Linked DNA regions of Arabidopsis thaliana. The protein of the gene in region 4 interacts with the protein of the main gene of each other region in a pairwise test. Each region holds a gene or a part of one and is shown on either strand. Other genes may lie near its edges. The genes, in order: AT4G05400, SAUR9, MPK18 and PUB14.

Region 1 (3,992 bases), on a different chromosome or scaffold from region 4:
GCCTTGTTTGATCTTACAGACTGGATTTGTCAACTCTTTGGCTTTTGCAAAATCGGGTAAATTTCTGATTGCCGGTGTTGGACAGGTATGTGATCATCTCTTATGTTCTCTTCCCTCTTCTTTTTTTCTATCTTTGTCCTCTTGTCTGTGTGATTGCTAATCTCAAAACTGATCGTGTTTTGTGAAATCGACATGGCAGGAAACTCGATTTGGAAGATGGGGATGCTTAAAATCTGCGCAAAATGGTGTCGCAATACATCCCTTAAGACTGGCATAAGTATTTCATTGGGATAAATGAAGCGTTGTTATGGATAGTTTTGAGTTGCTAAAAAGCCAAAGATCTAATCGCAAGTCATATAGGGATTACATTTCCTTGTAGCTCTTGAAGTTTTTGCTCCCTTTTTTGTTTGTTCCTTGTACCATTTTTTCTTAATACGAGAGATAAGAACTTATCATTTTGAGGCTCTGAAGAATCAAAGAGGATAACAGTTCCCAATTTTTTCATTCTCTCAGTAAAGCTTTTTGTTTCGTTTTCCCAAATGTTGAAGATAAGTATATGAAAAGGCAAATTATTAAACCAAGATCCATAGTGAACACAGACTTGATCGTAATTTATCCGGCGAAAAGAAGATTGCTTTTCCAAACAAAAAAGACAAGAGCCTACTACTTGAATGAATTCTCTTAAGTCAAGCTTAGAATCCCTAGAGACAATTTCTTGATGTCTCTTGGTCTCGTTGCTGCTCCATTCTGACTAATAGCTTCAACTGGATAAGAAAAACCAGCAGAGAATTGATAAGAAAGTTCCAAATATCCAAAACATACATAGAATACCACAAAATGAAGACTTGAAACAAGAAAAATGCAAACAGCATTGAAAGAATAACTAAACAAGAACATATCCTGCAAAAAAAACGAAAATGATACATAATAATCCAAAGACTCGAGCCTATATGCAGAGAAGTTCCAGAGGAAGGTCATGCTTCCAAAAGTTTCCATTTTAACATTGCAAACACTAACTCATGTACAAGTGAGTGATTCTCATTCACTTATTTGCTAATATGCATATAACTCGATCTCAAACTAACCAATAAGTATCATACTACCTGAAATCTAGCTAACCATCAGTTTTGAGATATTTTCTACAACAAAGTAAACCCAAGAACACAGCTTTGACATCAGAGATCAATACTACCAACCATCAATCCTAAACCCTGAATCATTCCATTGTTCGAAAAACAAACTGTTAAATCTCATATCCAAATCAGAAACAAGAGAAAACGATAAGCATAAGACAAAAATCTCTAACCTTTATTGACTCATCTCAACTTCTCTTTATTTCAGACACTTTCTACAACAAAGTAAACCCAAGACTCAGTAAACTACTAACCATCATTCTTAAATCCTGAATCATTCCATTGTTCGAAACACAAGCATTCAAAGCTCATCTCCAAAGCAAAAGCAAGAGATAAGACAAAATCTCTAACCTTTTAAACGAAATCATCTCAACTTCTCTTTACTTGAACTCTTCTTAGCTGCATCCATAACCTTCTCAAGATACCCTTCAATAGGCGGTGTAAGAGTAGCCATACCTCGATTCGCCGGAAACGGTGTCAAATCAGGCTCTAACGCCGCCTTCTTCAGATTCTCCGGCAATGCCTCAATAGCAGATTTCTTCAAATTCAAAAGCGCAGTTTCAGCTGCACGACGCTCTCTATGCTCTCTCATCAACACTTTACTATACTCCTTCGCAAGTCTCTCTCCATCTTCTTCCGTAAGCTTATACTTAGGCAATTCCTCAGCTTCAAAAATCCCTAACGAAATGTAATCCAAACCTGGCGTCCCAATTCGCATCGGCTCATCGGTGACTCCCATTGAAGCAGCTCCTCCTTTCTTCTGGATCTCCATATCTCGTTGCTTCTCTTTACTAATCAAACCTAGCTTCTCACGTTGCGCCTCACGCTCGATCTCTTGGGGGGTCAAGTAGCGAACAGGACAAGGAGCGTTTAAGCATTGCTCGTAGAGTTTCTGCTTCTCATCGGAAATTCTACCTTTTCCTTTAACTGCTTCCTCTCCTTCAACAGGTGCTCCGCCGCCGCCACCACCTTTCTTGATGGAGAGTTTGTTACGCTTCAATGGCTGACCTGTCTTCAGCTTTGCTTTTCCTTTAGGAGTTCCACTTGCGGAGCATCTTTGGATAAGATGGTAACTCAGTGATTCGATGATCGCTTTTGGTTTCGTAACTCGAATCATGCTTCTGATTCACCTGAGTTTCTGATTGCTTTCGTCTGAAAATGTTGCTTGAGTACAGAGATTAGGGTTTTCGACTCTCGACTGTGGAAGAAGAACACTGAACTAACGACGTCGTTTTACATCAAGTTAAATAAATCACGATGTCACAAAACTGTAAATTCAGCTTAAACCGAGGGTTTTCTTGTCTTTTAGAAAACTCCAATTTGGTTTCTTGGTTCGGTTTTCCATTTCTTTGTATACCGAATGAGAACCGACGTTAATTTTGAATTGATTTGGTTCAATTCGATTTAATTTTTGGTTATTGTTTCGGCTTACCACCACATAACCGAAGCTTCTTTCTGAAAACAAATTCGATTTTACTTTTCCAGAACTGAGAAGAAATTTGCTGAATTCAGTCTCATGCAACTTGTTAAATTTCTCACTATTAACAACGAATTTGGCTTTGGAAACTGTAACCTCCAAGTACCAAATACAAGTAAAATACAAAGAACGTGGTGAAAAGTAAAGAAGATCCAACACAGACAAAAAGCAATTTGTCCACTAAGATCTCTCGAGAGCCAAAAAAAAGTTGAGAAATTTGCAGTCAGTATGGGCTGCTCTGTTGTTGTCTCTTCTGGGCCTTGAAAGGATCTTCTTCTTCCCCTCACCTTCTTACTATAAACCCAGAATCATCCTCTGTTTCTTTTGTTCCTCAAATCATTTTTTTCCTCTCGATTGTGAGATCAATTATTAATATTCATCTGGAGAATTATCGTCTCTTTTCTCCATTGCTATGGCTCTCTCAACTACTCCTTCTCAGGTTTTCATTTTTACCATTCTAAACCTTTTTGGTTCCTGAGATTAAGTTTCGGATTTAATGAAAGTTTGGTTTTTGATTTTAGATGTCCGTTGCACTTCCAACTAGAATTGATGGGTCGAGCCGATCTATGATTAAGGTGAGCAAAAACGATCTAGATCACTAGATTACCGATCTTTGTCGTTGAGATGATTACATGGTCCTCAAAGTTTTTGTCTTTTGGTTTTCTTATTGTGTTGTTTAGTTCTGATGTAGACTTGTTGTGAATTTGGTATTGAAAGGTATAGTCTTTACAAGTAGAAGATTACAAAAAACTGGATTTTGCAACTCTTGAGCAATGATATTGAATCTCAATTATTTTGTACCTCAGGTTCAAAGTATAAGCTTCACTGATAAGTCATGGGGTCCTCCTCTGCTGAGACTAGATTCGAAATCTAGAAGCTTAGGTGTGAAAAAAAGGTCCACAATATGCATGTCACTTCAGCAATCAAGCAAATCCAAAGTCTTGGTTACTCCTCTAGAACTTGAAGATCCCAAAGAGACTCCCTTAAACTTGTTTAGGCCTAAGGAGCCTTATACTGCAACTATTGTTTCGGTTGAGAGAATTGTTGGTCCACAAGCACCTGGAGAGACTTGCCACATTGTTATTGATCATGATGGTAATGTTCCTTACTGGGAAGGACAAAGCTATGGAGTCATTCCTCCTGTAAGTGATTTTAACTCTATTGCTCATAACGCATTGCCTTTTGCTGATAAATGATTTGGTCTCTCAGATTTGGTAACATATCTGATTATATGTGCTCTATTCTTGACTCGTAGGGTGAGAATCCCAAGAAACCTGGTGCACCTCATAACGTTCGCCTTTATTCGATTGCATCAACACGGTATGGAGATTCTTTTGATGGCAAAACAGCTAGTCTATGTGTCCGTCGAGCTATTTACTATG
Region 2 (3,209 bases), on a different chromosome or scaffold from region 4:
TTTGCTTGTATTATTATATATCGACACAAATCTTGAAGGCGGCCTTACCAAATTAAAATGAGTTTTTGATATAGTAAAACAAAAACGAGGCAATTGGAACAAATGATAAATCATGAAAACGAAACGACGAAAAAGCAATTATTGTTATCAATAAGAACCCCACTCAAACAGAAATTACTGTAGACTTTGGATCATACTTATCGACTTATCGTCTTCTCATGACGATTAGTTTTTTTCCTTCTTCTTACGATTAAAGTCTACAGATCGAAATATAAATAGTTTTCATTACGCTTTGCTCAGATGAAGTAGAAACAAGATTGCAACTACAAATATCAGATGAAGTAGAAACAAGATTGCAACTACAAATGGTAAATCGTTGATGTTTGGCCAGTTATGGTTGATACTGGATAGACCGTGAATGTTTTTTTTATAATATTTTTTAATATGTTGTATTTAGTTTTTATTTTATTGAAACCAAATTTATTTGCTAATCAATCATTATTTTGTAACACTAGTTAAGTTAACTTATGAAGGTTTTATAGAAGATAATAATTAACAACAGTTTTAGAATGAAAATTCTTGAATAAAAAATTAATACAAATAAAACTAGCTATTCCTCTCAAGAACCAACGGTCAACAATACACGTTGACTTGAGGGAAAAGTCTTCCATCCAAACTAATATACAAAATATTTGAAAATAAAATATATAAAAGAAGGCACCGAAAATATATAGAAGGAAAAAAAAATCCCAAAAGAGTGGTTAATTAAAAAAAACTGTTAGGTATATTAATATAGCCACAAATCTTGAGTCGATACTTAACGCGATCCCCGCCATTTGCTTCCGTCTTCTTAGCAAAGAAAAAAAAAACCTAAATAATAGATTGCATATATTCCTTATTTCTTGTTTCTTGGTAATAACTTTGAGGATTTGATCTTCCGAGTCTGGAGTGTGACAATGTGATCAAACTCTTACTTCCTTAAAAGGGGAATATTTCTTGAGAGAATGACCAGTTGAGCTAATGAAGACCAGTCCTCGATATCGAGTATTATCTGAACATTGAGATGAGAGAACGAAAGACGACTTCATCACAAGGGATAGTGAGACCCATCTCGTGCTCGAAACCAAACTCTTCCTCGGCTAGTTGGAGGAGTGACTGGAACTCATGATGATCTAGCCACGAGATTGGGACCACATAGCGACTTCGGTGTTGACCGACGTAGACCGGGAAGTGACCTTTTGGCACGTCGTTGAAGTAGCAATTACCTTGATTCTTCTTTCCTAGACTTGAGCACCTCTTCAAGATTTGCTTTAGAGATGCTGCTTGAGACAACGCCGCTTTGTTCGACTTCTTTATCGCCATGATTTGACCTTATTGAAATCTAACTTGGCTAGAGAGAAGAGGGAAGAGGGAGAGAGAGTTTGGTATGTTTGAAGAAAGGTGTGGATGTGAAGGTGGTGGGGAGGAATATGGAGGGGTATTTAAGGGCACAATGAGAGAGAAAATTTTGGAAGTGTTTATTAAATTTAATAAGAAAAATCTCATATATGCTTTTAACATAGATTTATTAGGTTTACTTATGACTTTTTGGATGATTTGTGACTAGGTTATATGTATTATATACACAACAACGACTAATTCATGCAGAACCACATGAAGTGTTTCCTTGGTGATCAAATCAAAGCCGCGTAAGTACGTAACATATGACATCAAATATAATTATTAAATTTCATAAATGTCCAAACACTTGTTTTTATTCGTACATTATCTTATATGATCTCTTCAAAATTTGAACATTTTCCTTTTATCACAAGACATAAAAATACAACGTCCAACTATTTTCAAGGGTTATTGTTTTTTCTTACAAGGCCAAATTGTTATATTATGGCCTAGATAGAGTAGCCAAATGGTCTAAGTTTTTTTTTTTTTTTTTTTGCATCAATGAAGAATTAAACTCAGGACTATCTAAAGATATAACAATGCTCCCAAATTTTCCTATACCACTATATCAATCCATCAAAATATTCTTTTTTATATATGTAATGTGAAAGCAAATATCATGTGGGATGTAGGAAACAAAGCAGTTTTAGAGACAAGCCATAAGGGAAAGGCCAAAAATATGTAAAAGAATGCATACAATAAAATTTTTGGAGGGTCTTATAAATAAGGTAGGGACTATATAAACACTACCCTACATTGTCTCTATTTTGTGTTTTTATTTAGACACAACTCTACAAATTAATACAAGTAGTGTCTGTTTTCTCTACACTTGTTATAAACTCTTCTTCAGAATTTGTCTCTACTGAAACTTCCAATTTTATTACAACTAATATATGAATAAATAACCAAAAAATACCATATGGCCGTTAATAGATTTAGATACCCGTTTTGTCATAAATTGAGTCCGTTTACAAAAGGATTACGGACGAAGTATAGAGATATATAAACCAAAGTACGTACTTGCAACTACAAGATCACATGTCTTTTGCTACAAGTAGAGTTGCCAACACTTTAATGCCCATTCTTTTATTTTATTTTTTGTCTATAAATTAAGATGTACAAAATAACACCAAATGATTAATGTAGTTTGGTAGTTTTATATTTTCTTGGTTAACCAAATTCATTGAGAGGATATACGGGTTATTACGAGGTTCATATGACATTATATTTTATATCTACTGACCAAGCGGAACTTAACATTATGTTGGTCACCGACAAAAATACAGTATATATAATAAGTGCCATGCGGAAAAATCAGCGGAATTTGAGAACGTTAATTGTATATCTACAAACATTTTGGGGTCATTTCAAAATTCAGTCAAAGAGTTAGAACTTACAAACCATTAATATCATTTACGGAAGATTAAAATATGAAAATTTGATGGGTTAACTAATTTGGTAACTAAAAATATAATGATCTAAATAGTTTATCGGAAATATGTTTATAAAAACATATGGGAAAAGATGTAGCTAAGCAAACTTCGTCCCCATGTGAAAATCTGAAAACGAAAACAAATGCTTAGGTTGGAACCTATCTTTTGTTTAATTGACAGTATCAAATCCATGCAAGTTCCCATTTCATTCCTCCGACGCCTTGTGTTCCACGTACTTTTTTCCATTTATATATTCAACTTCTTATTTTTCGTTCCTTTTTTTGCTTTTTGCCTATCATTTTAATGGTGATGAATCAATCAACATCATCAAACATT
Region 3 (6,406 bases), on a different chromosome or scaffold from region 4:
ACATAAATGTGAGTCTATTTATTAGCTCTCTACTAAATTAGGACATTTCAGATCAATTAAAATAGAATGAAATTTTGATAATTAATTAAGTATGTGTATAAAGAAAGAAATAAATATATTGCATCGTTTTCCAAATTATAGTGATTGACGAATAAAATATGATTTTCCTTATTTTAGAAGGTTAATCGTGGTATTTAATTAAAACACCTGGTTTATTTATGATATAACGTAGACATGTCAGTTCAAATATTTAATTAGTTGATTACAAAGATAAGTACATGTCAACCTAAAATTTAATATCATCATTTCAACCCAAAAAAAACCTGAGATTATATATAACGGATCATTCAATGCAAGATGCTTAATGCCACCGTCACGTAACGAAATAATTGATTTGCTTCCTTTTTGGTTAATAAATATTAAATAGATCAAATGTGTACACTTTCTCATGACTTGTTAAATTGAGAAAGTGATATTCGTTATGATTAATGGACGCCTAATATTACCTTTAATGGGCTAAACTCAGGCCTACAAACTTGGCGGGTAAATTATAAACATTTCAACGGCGTCAAAATTTCGAAGTTAAGGCGAATTTCATTGTTAACCATGATGAGTCTTGAGGTCAAGAGCATTCCTTTTTTTCATTGGCAAGTTTTTTTTTTTCTTTTTGTAACCATTGAATAAAATTGACTAATTATATAATCTGAGAAAGAGTGGTTTACAGAAGAAAAATCTAAGGACCAATGTTTTATTTTGTTACTTCCACATTCTTCGGCATAATGTTGTCTATATTAACCAATCAAGACCATATTTTCCAATAACCAAAGAGATTCCTTTTTTTGTTGAAGAACAATAAAGACTAATGGGACCGATTAAGAAGTTTAAGAAGTATATAATCACCACGATATTCTTCTCTACGGTGAACTACGCTTATGGCAAATTCAAAGATTATGGAGCCAACAAGATAACCGAAACAATAACCGGGACTGACCCGCAATCAGACTAATCCAAGGCGATCTTGTTCTGGAGAGTTACAACTAAATAAAAGTCTTTCTTATATCATTGCAACGTAGTTCATATCAGAGCCTGGACTGAATAATACTTACATAAAAACTAGAGAATCACCTGGTGGAGGAAGATGTGGTGGTTAAAGATCTGTCTGAAGTGTTGTCTATGATGCTGCGCTGTAACTAATTGTGCCTATGTTCCGGTGTGCTGCTACTGCAACCGCTGCAGCTCCTGCTGGACCAAACTGTGATTGTGCCTGCAACAGCTTAGCATCAATGGCCATATGTGTGTTGTTGTTTAATTGATCTGTCTTCGGGAGCTGTGGTTGAAAGTAAGGGTTTGGGTGGTTCATAGTCTCAACGTCTGCTTGGTTAGTTGTAGCAGCTGGTGGCTCAGTGGGACTGAATTGGTGGACAGGATTTTGTGGCTTTGGTGGAAAAGACGAAGCTTCTATGTTGCGGTTCTCCGGGTTTGTCATGGTGTTTGGTCGGAAGTAGCAATGAGGAGATGAAACCGCGCTTCTGAAATAAGCTTCTTTGAGGTTCCTGCCATTCTCATAAGATACAGATGATTCCACAACACGACCTGGTCTACCTGTAAAACATAGGGTGAAAGTTAGTTGAAGTTTCTAACTTTAGGAAATAATATTTGGAGATATGATTGAGACCTGATGGTGGAACTCTTGGTGGAGGTCCGATGGATTTAGTAGGATACGCGGAAGTTGATGGATGTCCTGCAGAAGAAGCTCCATTTTTTGAAGGCTCGAAAGAAACACGTCTACTATCTGTTGCACCCAAGTTGGGTTGCGAGGTGGAATGGACTACAGTTGAGTGAACCGTAGACCTGTGGAAAACAATCATATCTATTAGAATTAGAAGAGTAGAGAACATATGAAAGTTTTTAGAATTAGAAGAGTAGAGAACATATGAAAGTTTGCTTGAGGCCTTCGACCATATGCTTCACAAATGCTAAGCAGTAGCAGAAGAAAGAACAAAAGAATAAGCATATTCCCTACAGTCGACTTGTATATAAAGAATGAGAAAACATACCGCGGTAGTGATGCGTGTTTCCTCTCGAGAGGTATGACCGGCCCATTTCTACTGCTATTTTCCTCTAAGTAAGTGAACTGCTGTCTAAGATGTCCAATGGCGCTGCAAGTGAAAAAGTAAAAACATGAATAAAAAGCCAGGCAGAGGTACGCGATTGGACATAAATTCAACGGGAGAAAGAAACAAGAAATGTTTCATTTGGTAAATAATAATAAAAGGTAGGAAGAAATTCAAACCTAGGATATACAAAATTAGACCCCTCAGATCCGCTCATATAGTCCTTGAGCAACTGAGGATGGTACTCCAGTATTTCTCTGTATATTAGTTCTCTAATGTCGTCCTTTGTCAACCTTCGCCTCTCAAATTCAAACTCCATTTTCGAGATTTGCTGACTTGAAGGTTCTCTTTCAATCTTAGAAAGACCCTTGAAGTAAGGATCAGCTAATGCCTATCGAAAAACAAAAAGATAGCAAAGTAAGCAGAGAGATACACACAAGACGCAAGGCAGCTTTACAAAGAGGACCGAAGAAGAATCTAATTACAAAGTGAAAAAGACAGAAAAGAGACCTCTGCAGGAGTCGGTCGATCCTTTGGATCGAAAGCCAACAGCCTCTGCAAAAGACGGAGTGCTAATGGATCTGCTTTGGAAAATTTTTGCGAGAAGGTGACAGGATTTTTCTTCCTCATTTCAGTCAAGTATTTTCTAGCTTTATCATTACGAACCTGCATCAGAGAAATAAATGTTTAGCTATACAGTTCAATATATATACGTACTCCAGAAATTAATGTGAAGAAGAAAAACGGATCATACTCCAGAAATTGTTTCTGATTTTGGTGTGCCAAGAAGATCAGTAATCAACTCCAACTGATGGACAACACTTTTTCCCGGAAACAATGGCTTCCCTGTTAGTACCTCTGCAAAGATGCAGCCAATGCTCCAAACGTCGATAGCTGGAGTGTACTGCAGAATAATTTTGACTGTAAATCAGATTATGATGAAAAAACAAAATCCATGAATATGAAGTTGCAGATGCAAAAGAAACCACTCAATGAACATAACCTGATACAAGGTTACCTGATTCATAGATTTTCAACTTCGGGGAGAGTTCAAGTCATCCCTGAACAAGAATTATTTTAATATCCCACTGGGGCACAACTCTATACTTATACAAGTAACATCAAATATCAGCTATTAACACTAATCTGCATATATTCTACACTAAAGAAGACTAATCTGTTCATAAGACCTAAGCATAGCCAATTAGAATGCATAGAAGAAATCCACAGTAACACCTACCTTCGAAAAGAATGATCCACAGAGCTCAGGTGCTCTATACCATCTTGTGGCAACATAGTCCTGCATTGCGATTAAATGAGTCAGAGAGAAAAATCAAACACACAAATTAACGGCTAACAAACAAAAGGTCTCCTCCTCGAGGCTACTAACCGTCCAAAAGACTGTCGTAGGAGTATCATTAAACGCTACTCTAGCCAATCCAAAGTCACAAACTTTCAACTTGCAATTTGCGTTTGCAAGTATATTCTTTGGCTTAAGATCACGGTGATAAACATTAGCTGCATGAACAAAAGGATAACAGTAAGTTACAACCAGAAAAAATACAAAACATGCTGCCAAGATTCACAGGTCTGAAACAATGAAACGAATCACACCTGTATGCATGAACTTTAAAGCACGAAGCATCTGATAAAGGAAAAACTGGTGGTGTTCACGAGTCAAATCATCATTAGCTTTAATAACTTGATGAAGATCTGATTCCATGAGCTCAAACACAACATAGATATCTTTAAACTCTCTCTTAGAAGGAGGCAGCATAATGCTTTTGATCTCCACAATATCAGGATGCCGTAAAAGCCGAAGAAGCTTCACTTCACGGAGAATACGAAGCGCATCAGAAATATGTTCAAAGACATCATTAATCTTCTTAATAGCAACTTTCTCTCCAGTATGTGTATCAATAGCTGCACACACAACTCCATAGCTTCCTTTACCAATAACTTCCAGAATCCTATATCTGTTTGCATCACCATACTCTGTGAAAAACTCCATCTCTTTCGTGCCCTAGTGAATCACAAAAGTAGACAAAACACAAACTTTATCCACACATCTTATTTATGCTCATGCAACAAAACCAAACCTAATTGCAATTGAAAAAGGAAAGATTTTATTTTTTTTGTCTTTAAATTTGTAAAAGGATAAGACTTTATCCTCTGTTTCCCACATTTAGAATCAAAGCATGATTGAGAGAGATAGAGAGCAAGAAGCGAACCTTCTTCACTTGATTTTGTTGCATCTTCTTCTTCAAAATTATCAAAAATCTGGATCGGCTTTTCGAAAAGTAAAAAAAAAAAAAAAACCTAGATTGCTAAGAATCCGAAAACTAGAAGAACTCAAAATCAAGCCCAGTCTGTGAAGAAGACGATACAGAGAAGAGCAAAACCTAGATCCAGCGATCGAAGAAGAAGAAGACGAGAGAGGATTTTAAAAATACCGAATTTGAGATATTTTTTCTAAATTTGAATAAAAATAATTTCTAATTCTAGCAATTTCTCGTGGTACTTATTGCGTACGGGTGTGACAAATCCCAGATAGTGGCAGTTTCGTAGTTTTAGACAACATTTGAGGGTAAAGTAAATATTGGTTTTCTCCCACTGTGGTCTGTGGACGACCTTTTTGGAAAATGACCCAATGGTTTAGACACCTGTTGCTGGACTTGGACCGTTTTATTTTTCTTAAATTCCGATTTTGACCCCTATCTTAATTTTGTTTTGATTCTAACCATTCTTTTTGATAAGTGGTCAATTTAACCCCCACGTGATAGTATTTCTCGTACCACTGAAAGGAATATTATTAACATTATCTCAATTTTGCTTATTATATTCCTTGATTTAAATTTTTAAGATTGAAAAATCTATATACAATTGACTAATTCATATGTAAATAAATATTGTTGAAGGATATTTGTCTTAGATTTTAATTTATTTTGGTAAAGACGATACACGATTAATATATTAGGATAAAATACCATCTTTGATGAACATTTATTCCATGTAAATCAACTAACCTTGAGAAAAAGACCTTCCAAGTGTCAAGTTGTTTGCTTGATACTATGGGATGATAAAAACAAAATCAAAAGAAAAAAAAAAACTGCCATCCTCATTGGTATATGACTTAGTATTTGATAGAAAATAAAATAAAATAAATAGATTAATAATTTTGCAATTCGTGTGAAACTAATATTCACATGTCAATTTACACAATTTGGCTTTTGTATTTATTGAAAAGACCAACATATTTAGTGTCTGGCTCATATTAAAAGTTTATCACAATAGGGGCAAATCCACAAAAAGGTGAAGATTATGATAATATTATAACTGATCTTGATTAAAACAAATCCAACATCTTATTATTCATTTGTATCTGAGGCATTCAAATCCAAAGTTGGTTCATTATCTAAAGTACAAAATATCATAATTTCAAATTATCATACTCCATATAATTTCACACTATACGACGATGTAGGTGGTGCATGTGTCAATTTATTGTCAATATTTTAAGGCGTTATAACTTATAACTAAAGTTGATCCTTTTTGCATATTTCATTGCTTTTCATTTTCTTCTACTTTCGGTTTTAAAATCATAATTTTACTCTCTTTTGACTAAGTGCGCATTTTAAAATAATTATCGGCCAAAGATAAATATAAATGATGGTTGACTGGTTCTATCTATTTAGACCAGGCTCTGCATAATATATATAACCAGCATATCTATTTTTAAAATAGTTTTAATGGTTTTTCAAAATGATATATATAATATTTTGAATTGCAAGTTTAATAATTCGAAGATATATATATATATATATATAATCATGAGTCAGAATTCAACAGAGTGGACACAATATTACCATTCATCACATGAATCATGCTTTTCGTGTATGTATGTTTTAGAGTTTTGACTGGAGGAGCCAAAATATCTCCACCAAGCAGATTTATTTTGTTTGTTTATTTATTTGAGTTACATCTTATTAAAATTCCATGAACCATATATAATGATAGAAGAAAAAAGGGATCACCCATAAATAATGATAATTTGTGCACAACTATATATTATTGTTTTCTTAACTTTTGGTTGCCAACAACTCTATATTATTAGTGCAAATATAATAATGTTGATGAATAAAAGACAATGCATCCTAATAATAAACCAAAATATAATGTGTAAATGTGGTCCAGTGAGAGAAGAAGTTGCATGTGGTAAAGGGCACACACCAAGAAAAGGACTCACTTTGATCAACTTGGCCAAAACAACATAATTTCATTCATCTTCTCTT
Region 4 (5,216 bases):
TGGAAGACGCTCAATTGTTCTTGTTGTCTTCATTGGAGGTGTAACATTTGCTGAAATCTCTGCTTTACGGTATCTCGCCTCTAAGGTATATATCAAACTTCAAAAGTTTACCATAAAAAAAACACTCTTTTTGTCCGCTGAATCCTCCATTCTTGCTTCTGCATAAAATTTTATCAGGAAGGAATGGCTTATGATTTGATTGTTGCCACAACAAAAATCGTCAACGGCGCAACGTTGATAGAAACATTCATGGAAAAACTAGGCTGATCCGTAAACTGAGCGTTATGTTCATCTTTTCTCTTTCGAGTGTGTTTATTAATTCATTTTTTGTATGTCTTTGTTTATTTTTCTGGATCATTGTGGTTGCAGAGTGAATGGTATGCGTATGTGTATGTGTATATTAAATGGTTGAGATACAGCGTGATTATACAAATTCAATAATGTTTTCTTGGTACAACCTTTCACTTCAACTTCTGCTAGTTATATACGGCTTTACTTCTCCCTAATTCTCAAGCAAATCGAGAGTGTGAAACAGTAAATAATAGGGTTACTTTTACTTTTAAATATCAAATAGATATACACAACTCTGAGTCGAAAATTACATATAACATCATTACATAAGATTCTTATGTCAGACTCAAACCAAAGGTTCCTATACATATAATCTACACTGAAACAAATAACATTCCAAAAGAGCGAGGCTTTCATGGAACAGTAGTTACTGCAACACCTTCGGTTTGCTGAATAAGCTCCAACAAGCTCGCAGCTTTCCTCTTTGCTCTATCAGTGCCATTCTCAGTAAGTTCCTTCAAGGCCACATCTGCACCAACCTCTCTTGCTACATTTAGCCTTTCTATATTCCCAATACATAGATACCAAAGTATTGCTGCAGCATTTTCCCGGTTCCTTGGTGACCCTGTCCTTATAATCTCAACCAAAACCGGGATAGATTCTGCTTCAGCTATCGCTGTTTTCCCTTCTTGGTTAGTTGAAAGAATTGCTAAAATGGCCAGAGCCTCATCCACCATTCCGCCACCTGCATCTTTCAGTAATCTGGTCAGAGGGTCAACAATACCGCCTTTAACCGCCCTTGATTTGTTCCCCTGGTATATGCATAAGTTGAAAATCGCTGTAGCAGCATCTTTTTTGCCTCTTCGGGTTCCTTCCTCAAGCAAGCTTATAAGTGCTTGGATAGCTCCAGCAGCACCTATTGCCACTTTGTTTTCATCTATAACAGATAAACTGAAAAGGGTTGCAGCAGCGTTCTCTCTAGCTTCCATGCTTCCGTTCTTTAGGACTTCTACTATATCCGTTATGGCTCCTGCATCAACAATGGCTCCTTTGTTCCCTTCATTTATGGAAAGATTCAGAAGAGCTGTCACAGAATGTTCCTGAGTCCGAGGATCTGGTGAGGATAGAAGCTCTACAAGGAGTGGTATGGCTCCAGCCTCAGCGATACAAACTCTGTTATCCACGTTCCTCTTGGCTAGTAACCTTAATTCTCCAGCTGCAGCTCTTTGCTGTTCTGTAGTACCGTTGGCCAATTTCTCTAACAAGGAAAGGACAAATGTTCGATCACAATCTGAAGAGCTGCTTCCTCCTATTTTTGTGGTTCTACAGCTCCCTTGATTTTGCGGTAGCTCAATGCCGTTGCTTTCACACCACAAAGCAATGAGACTCTTTAACACATAATTAGGGGTTAATCCAGCATGTAAAAGTGTCTCCTGAGATTTCGGACATGTTTTATGACCAGCATCAAGCCACTTCTGAATTGATGATCTTTCATATGTCTGCAAGGTCGAAAAATTCAGCTATAACAACAAATACACAAGTTTAATAATCAAATTCACTACAATGCACAACGAAACTTGCAAAGCCAGACCTGTCCAGTGGAGACGATAACAGGATCCTTCATCAGTTCAAGTGATATCGGACACCGAAAATACTCTGGTATAACAGGAGAACGATGTCTCGAAACGATTCTGCTGCCAGTGGATGGATCAGGGTCTGAACTTTCCATTGTTACAAAGTCTACCAGGTTTTTAAGAAGTGAAGACATCCTCTCGAAACAGTCATCAGGATCTCCATCATATGAAAGAAAATACTCATGTATCGCATGCGATTCTTTCTTCAGCTCATCAATGGTAGTAAGTTGGAGCTCTTGTGAAAGTCTTTTGAGGATTATAGGGTCAGGATCCATCACATTCTCTGCCATAGCTAGATCATGGCTAAGCTGTAGATCAGACTCCTCCCATCTTTCTTTTGCTCTCTTGAACTGAAAATGCAGAAGCTGAACCTACAAATTCAGAGAGCTTATCATTAGAATTCAGATTTTAATCAACAGAAAAATATAGCCCTCCTTAAATCAATGCATTGAGAAGTACCTGTTCTCTGACTTCCTCTGATACCTCAATCTTCTCATAAGGAATCTGACTTAACGCTGCTTCTATCTCCACTGTCATGTCACGGAACTTCTCCACAAGAGAATCTCTATCGAAAAGCTGCCAGCAGAGAGAACACGAAAAAGGTCTCAACTTCTTGTTATCAGACTCAATTTGATTCATCCCAAAATAAGAGAAACAAGACAAAACCCAAATTCTTGATATTGTTAAAGAAGACAAAGACAAACAACAAAACCCTAAACACCAAAATCTTAAACCCTCGAAGAGAAAACAAAGGAAATTGCCAACTTTTGCCAGCTACCAAAGATATAAATACAAATAAAACAGAGCAAGTAAATGAGTAACCTGAAAAAGCTTGCTTCCTCCATTAACCGATCGAAAAAGCTCAAGACTTGAATCAAGAGCGATTCTCATAGCCTCAAACCCTGTAATCTGATCCTTTTTCAATTCAACATTGACGTCAATCAATTCCTCGAAGAAAGGGCTGAGAAGCGTGATCCTACGAACAAGATCGCCTTGGATCTTCCCAATAAAACCCCTTGAAGATGAAAACCCTGATATTTCTTTAACGGAGTCAACGAGTCGACTCATTAGCTCCTCGTGGGAACAACAATTCGTTAATCCCATCCCTCAGATTTTACTGTTCCAGAGGGCTTCAAAAGGGTTTTAACGAAACCAAGACGAGGAAGAAGAAACCCAAAAAACCAAGAGGAGGAACAGAAATGCTATGGAACGAAATAGTCTTCTCATCAACGTGACAATAAACACCTATTTGGACATGAAAAGTCTCATTTTGTCCATTTTCAGACCAATCATAATTTTTTCTATTTTATTTTGCCGTTAAATTTTAATATTTAAACATTGCATTTAGATTTTCATATTTATTTATTGCCTCAACTATAAATTTATGATATTAAGGTTGACCAATACAAATATATAAAGTTTTTAAGTTTGTATTTGCATCTGAAATCATCAAAAGTCAAATCCTTTGTATAATGGATTTCTCTACCTGTTTGTTAGTCTCTTTGAAATTGTCAAATAATTTCTTGATTTAGGTTTTGTTAGAATTGGCTGCAATAGTCTCTCCCACAAACTATACATGCATTGAATCATTTGAATGAAGCTTTACTCTTCTCTACTTCTGATGAATCCCACTAAAATATGTACTGATGATCCATTGCTTGATATAACTTGGGTTTCCACTTTTGAGGTTCGTAATATCCCCAGTTTCAAACTCAAATCTTCACATTATACAACACACTTGACTTAACAGATAGAGAAATATTGTTTTGAAACATTACATTAAAAAGTATGGAAAGATTAGTAGTCTGAAGACATGGCTGAAGATGAGATGATTCAACACTCCAATCATGACGAAGGAGCAGGACGAGGTAGCCTCTTGCCAATTTCCTATCAGACATGTGTACACTACAACAAGTTAAAATCTCATATACTTCGTATTAATCCATCTTTCTGCATCCAAAACTATTATCCTCCACAAACTACAAGAAATTAAATCTCATATCTAGCTGCATATCACTGCCTATCACTTTTCCATCCTCCAATTCCAAAGCAATGAAAGAAACGGATAATAAGATCTCAATAAATGCAGAGGACAAGAAAATCGATCATAAATCAGAGGCAAGAAAGAAGTGCACACCTCAAACAGTTGATTTATGTTATCGGCTGTCTTGGCTGACGTCTCAATGAAGAACATGCCGTTCTTCTCTGCAAGCTCCATTCCATCCTGTTAAGAAATTGAAAATGTGATACCACTGAAGAAGCAAGGACAATGAAAGTGACAACAAAATGCGCTACGGAATCTAGATGAAGACGTTTACGCAAACTCACCTCAGTAGGTACTTCTCTTTTTTCATGTAGATCAGCTTTGTTACCAACCAGAGCCATAACAATATCTGGGCTTCCATGCTTTTGCAGTTCCTGTTAGATTTATGGGCAGGGGTAAAACAATAGCACTAGATTCAATATAATGTTGATATCTTTCCTGCACGGAGTTGTGCCAAATGGCTTCATGGTAGCAACGAGTGCAAATTAATGGAACAAAAATGTCAGAGAAGTAAACCAGTTGCCCAACTAAATGATACCCATTATATACACAGACAGGAGTGCTGTTGGCTATATGACTGTCTGTAACTCTAATTTTCAGTCCTGGTAAAGATATAGCTCGGAAGCTATTGCACGAATCCTAGAAACATGAACGAAATGGAACCTTTTGAACCCCCTGAAAACATACCTTAACCCAATACTGTGCTTTCTTGAACGATTCAGGGCTTGTTATATCATACACAATAACAGCAACTCCAGCTCCACGGTAGTATAGTGGTGCAAGAGCAGAATACCTAAAAATAAAGTGAATGCAGGTTAAATCCTAGTAAGTTTGCAAAGCGTTTATCTAATAAAATAAGCAATACAAATCTGCATGAAGGGTTTAATACCTCTCCTGTCCTGCTGTATCCCATATTTCAAACTTCACTGTGGTAGAGTCTTGCAATGCTATAGTTTGGGACAAGAACGAGGCTCCAACAGTTACCTGATACATAGCTAGTAGTCTTGAGATCTAGTGGCAGATAAGTATACTCTAATAGTCTAATATTCACTCACATCAGAGCATGGTGTTCTAAAAAGGTGTCAGATGGTCAATAAAGACAATTAGATAACAAGGCTTTACTTACCTTAGATGTAGCGTCAAACTGACCACGTACAAATCGAAGGACAATACAACTTTTACCAACACCAGAGTCTCCTAATAGAACTAACTGCAATCAAGTGAATCCAAAAGTTAGTGGTATGTCT

What was found.
Region 1: the proteins of PUB14 (region 4) and AT4G05400 interact in a two-hybrid assay, tested with the Arabidopsis thaliana proteins (one large-scale study listed by BioGRID).
Region 2: the proteins of PUB14 (region 4) and SAUR9 interact in a two-hybrid assay, tested with the Arabidopsis thaliana proteins (one large-scale study listed by BioGRID).
Region 3: the proteins of PUB14 (region 4) and MPK18 interact in a two-hybrid assay, tested with the Arabidopsis thaliana proteins (one large-scale study listed by BioGRID).

The regions. Positions count from the first base shown.
Region 1 is NC_003075.7:2,739,514-2,743,505, reverse strand, and holds AT4G05400 (copper ion binding protein), read right to left. Parts: upstream 2,347-3,992; 5' UTR 2,251-2,346; coding exon 1,498-2,250; 3' UTR 1,485-1,497; intron 1,349-1,484; 3' UTR 1,307-1,348; intron 1,161-1,306; exon of another isoform or gene 765-1,160; 3' UTR 557-764; downstream 1-556. Other genes in the region: YAO (Transducin/WD40 repeat-like superfamily protein), read left to right, coding at 20-85, 200-277; RFNR1 (root FNR 1), read left to right, coding at 3,023-3,049, 3,132-3,185, 3,417-3,752, 3,866-3,992.
Region 2 is NC_003075.7:17,088,184-17,091,392, reverse strand, and holds SAUR9 (SAUR-like auxin-responsive protein family), read right to left. Parts: upstream 1,460-3,209; 5' UTR 1,363-1,459; coding exon 1,048-1,362; 3' UTR 520-1,047; downstream 1-519. UniProt on the Arabidopsis thaliana protein: Provide a mechanistic link between auxin and plasma membrane H(+)-ATPases (PM H(+)-ATPases, e.g.
Region 3 is NC_003070.9:19,969,790-19,976,195, forward strand, and holds MPK18 (mitogen-activated protein kinase 18), read right to left. Parts: upstream 4,605-6,406; 5' UTR 4,370-4,604; coding exon 4,346-4,369; intron 4,138-4,345; coding exon 3,729-4,137; intron 3,633-3,728; coding exon 3,505-3,632; intron 3,415-3,504; coding exon 3,355-3,414; intron 3,019-3,354; coding exon 2,869-3,018; intron 2,781-2,868; coding exon 2,625-2,780; intron 2,506-2,624; coding exon 2,294-2,505; intron 2,160-2,293; coding exon 2,058-2,159; intron 1,852-2,057; coding exon 1,676-1,851; intron 1,603-1,675; coding exon 1,172-1,602; 3' UTR 545-1,171; downstream 1-544. UniProt on the Arabidopsis thaliana protein: Mitogen-activated protein kinase (MAPK) that is specifically regulated by PHS1 and MAPKKK20 and mediates signaling that regulates cortical microtubule functions, maybe through regulation of microtubule dynamic instability.
Region 4 is NC_003074.8:20,319,337-20,324,552, reverse strand, and holds PUB14 (plant U-box 14), read right to left. Parts: upstream 3,201-5,216; 5' UTR 3,030-3,200; coding exon 2,748-3,029; intron 2,502-2,747; coding exon 2,385-2,501; intron 2,297-2,384; coding exon 1,883-2,296; intron 1,791-1,882; coding exon 705-1,790; 3' UTR 533-704; downstream 1-532. Other genes in the region: ATVPS33 (Sec1/munc18-like (SM) proteins superfamily), read left to right, coding at 1-85, 178-267; ARA6 (Ras-related small GTP-binding family protein), read right to left, coding at 3,771-3,812, 4,063-4,149, 4,254-4,343, 4,657-4,762, 4,859-4,953, 5,096-5,179. UniProt on the Arabidopsis thaliana protein: Functions as an E3 ubiquitin ligase with specific E2 ubiquitin-conjugating enzymes. Undergoes auto-ubiquitination.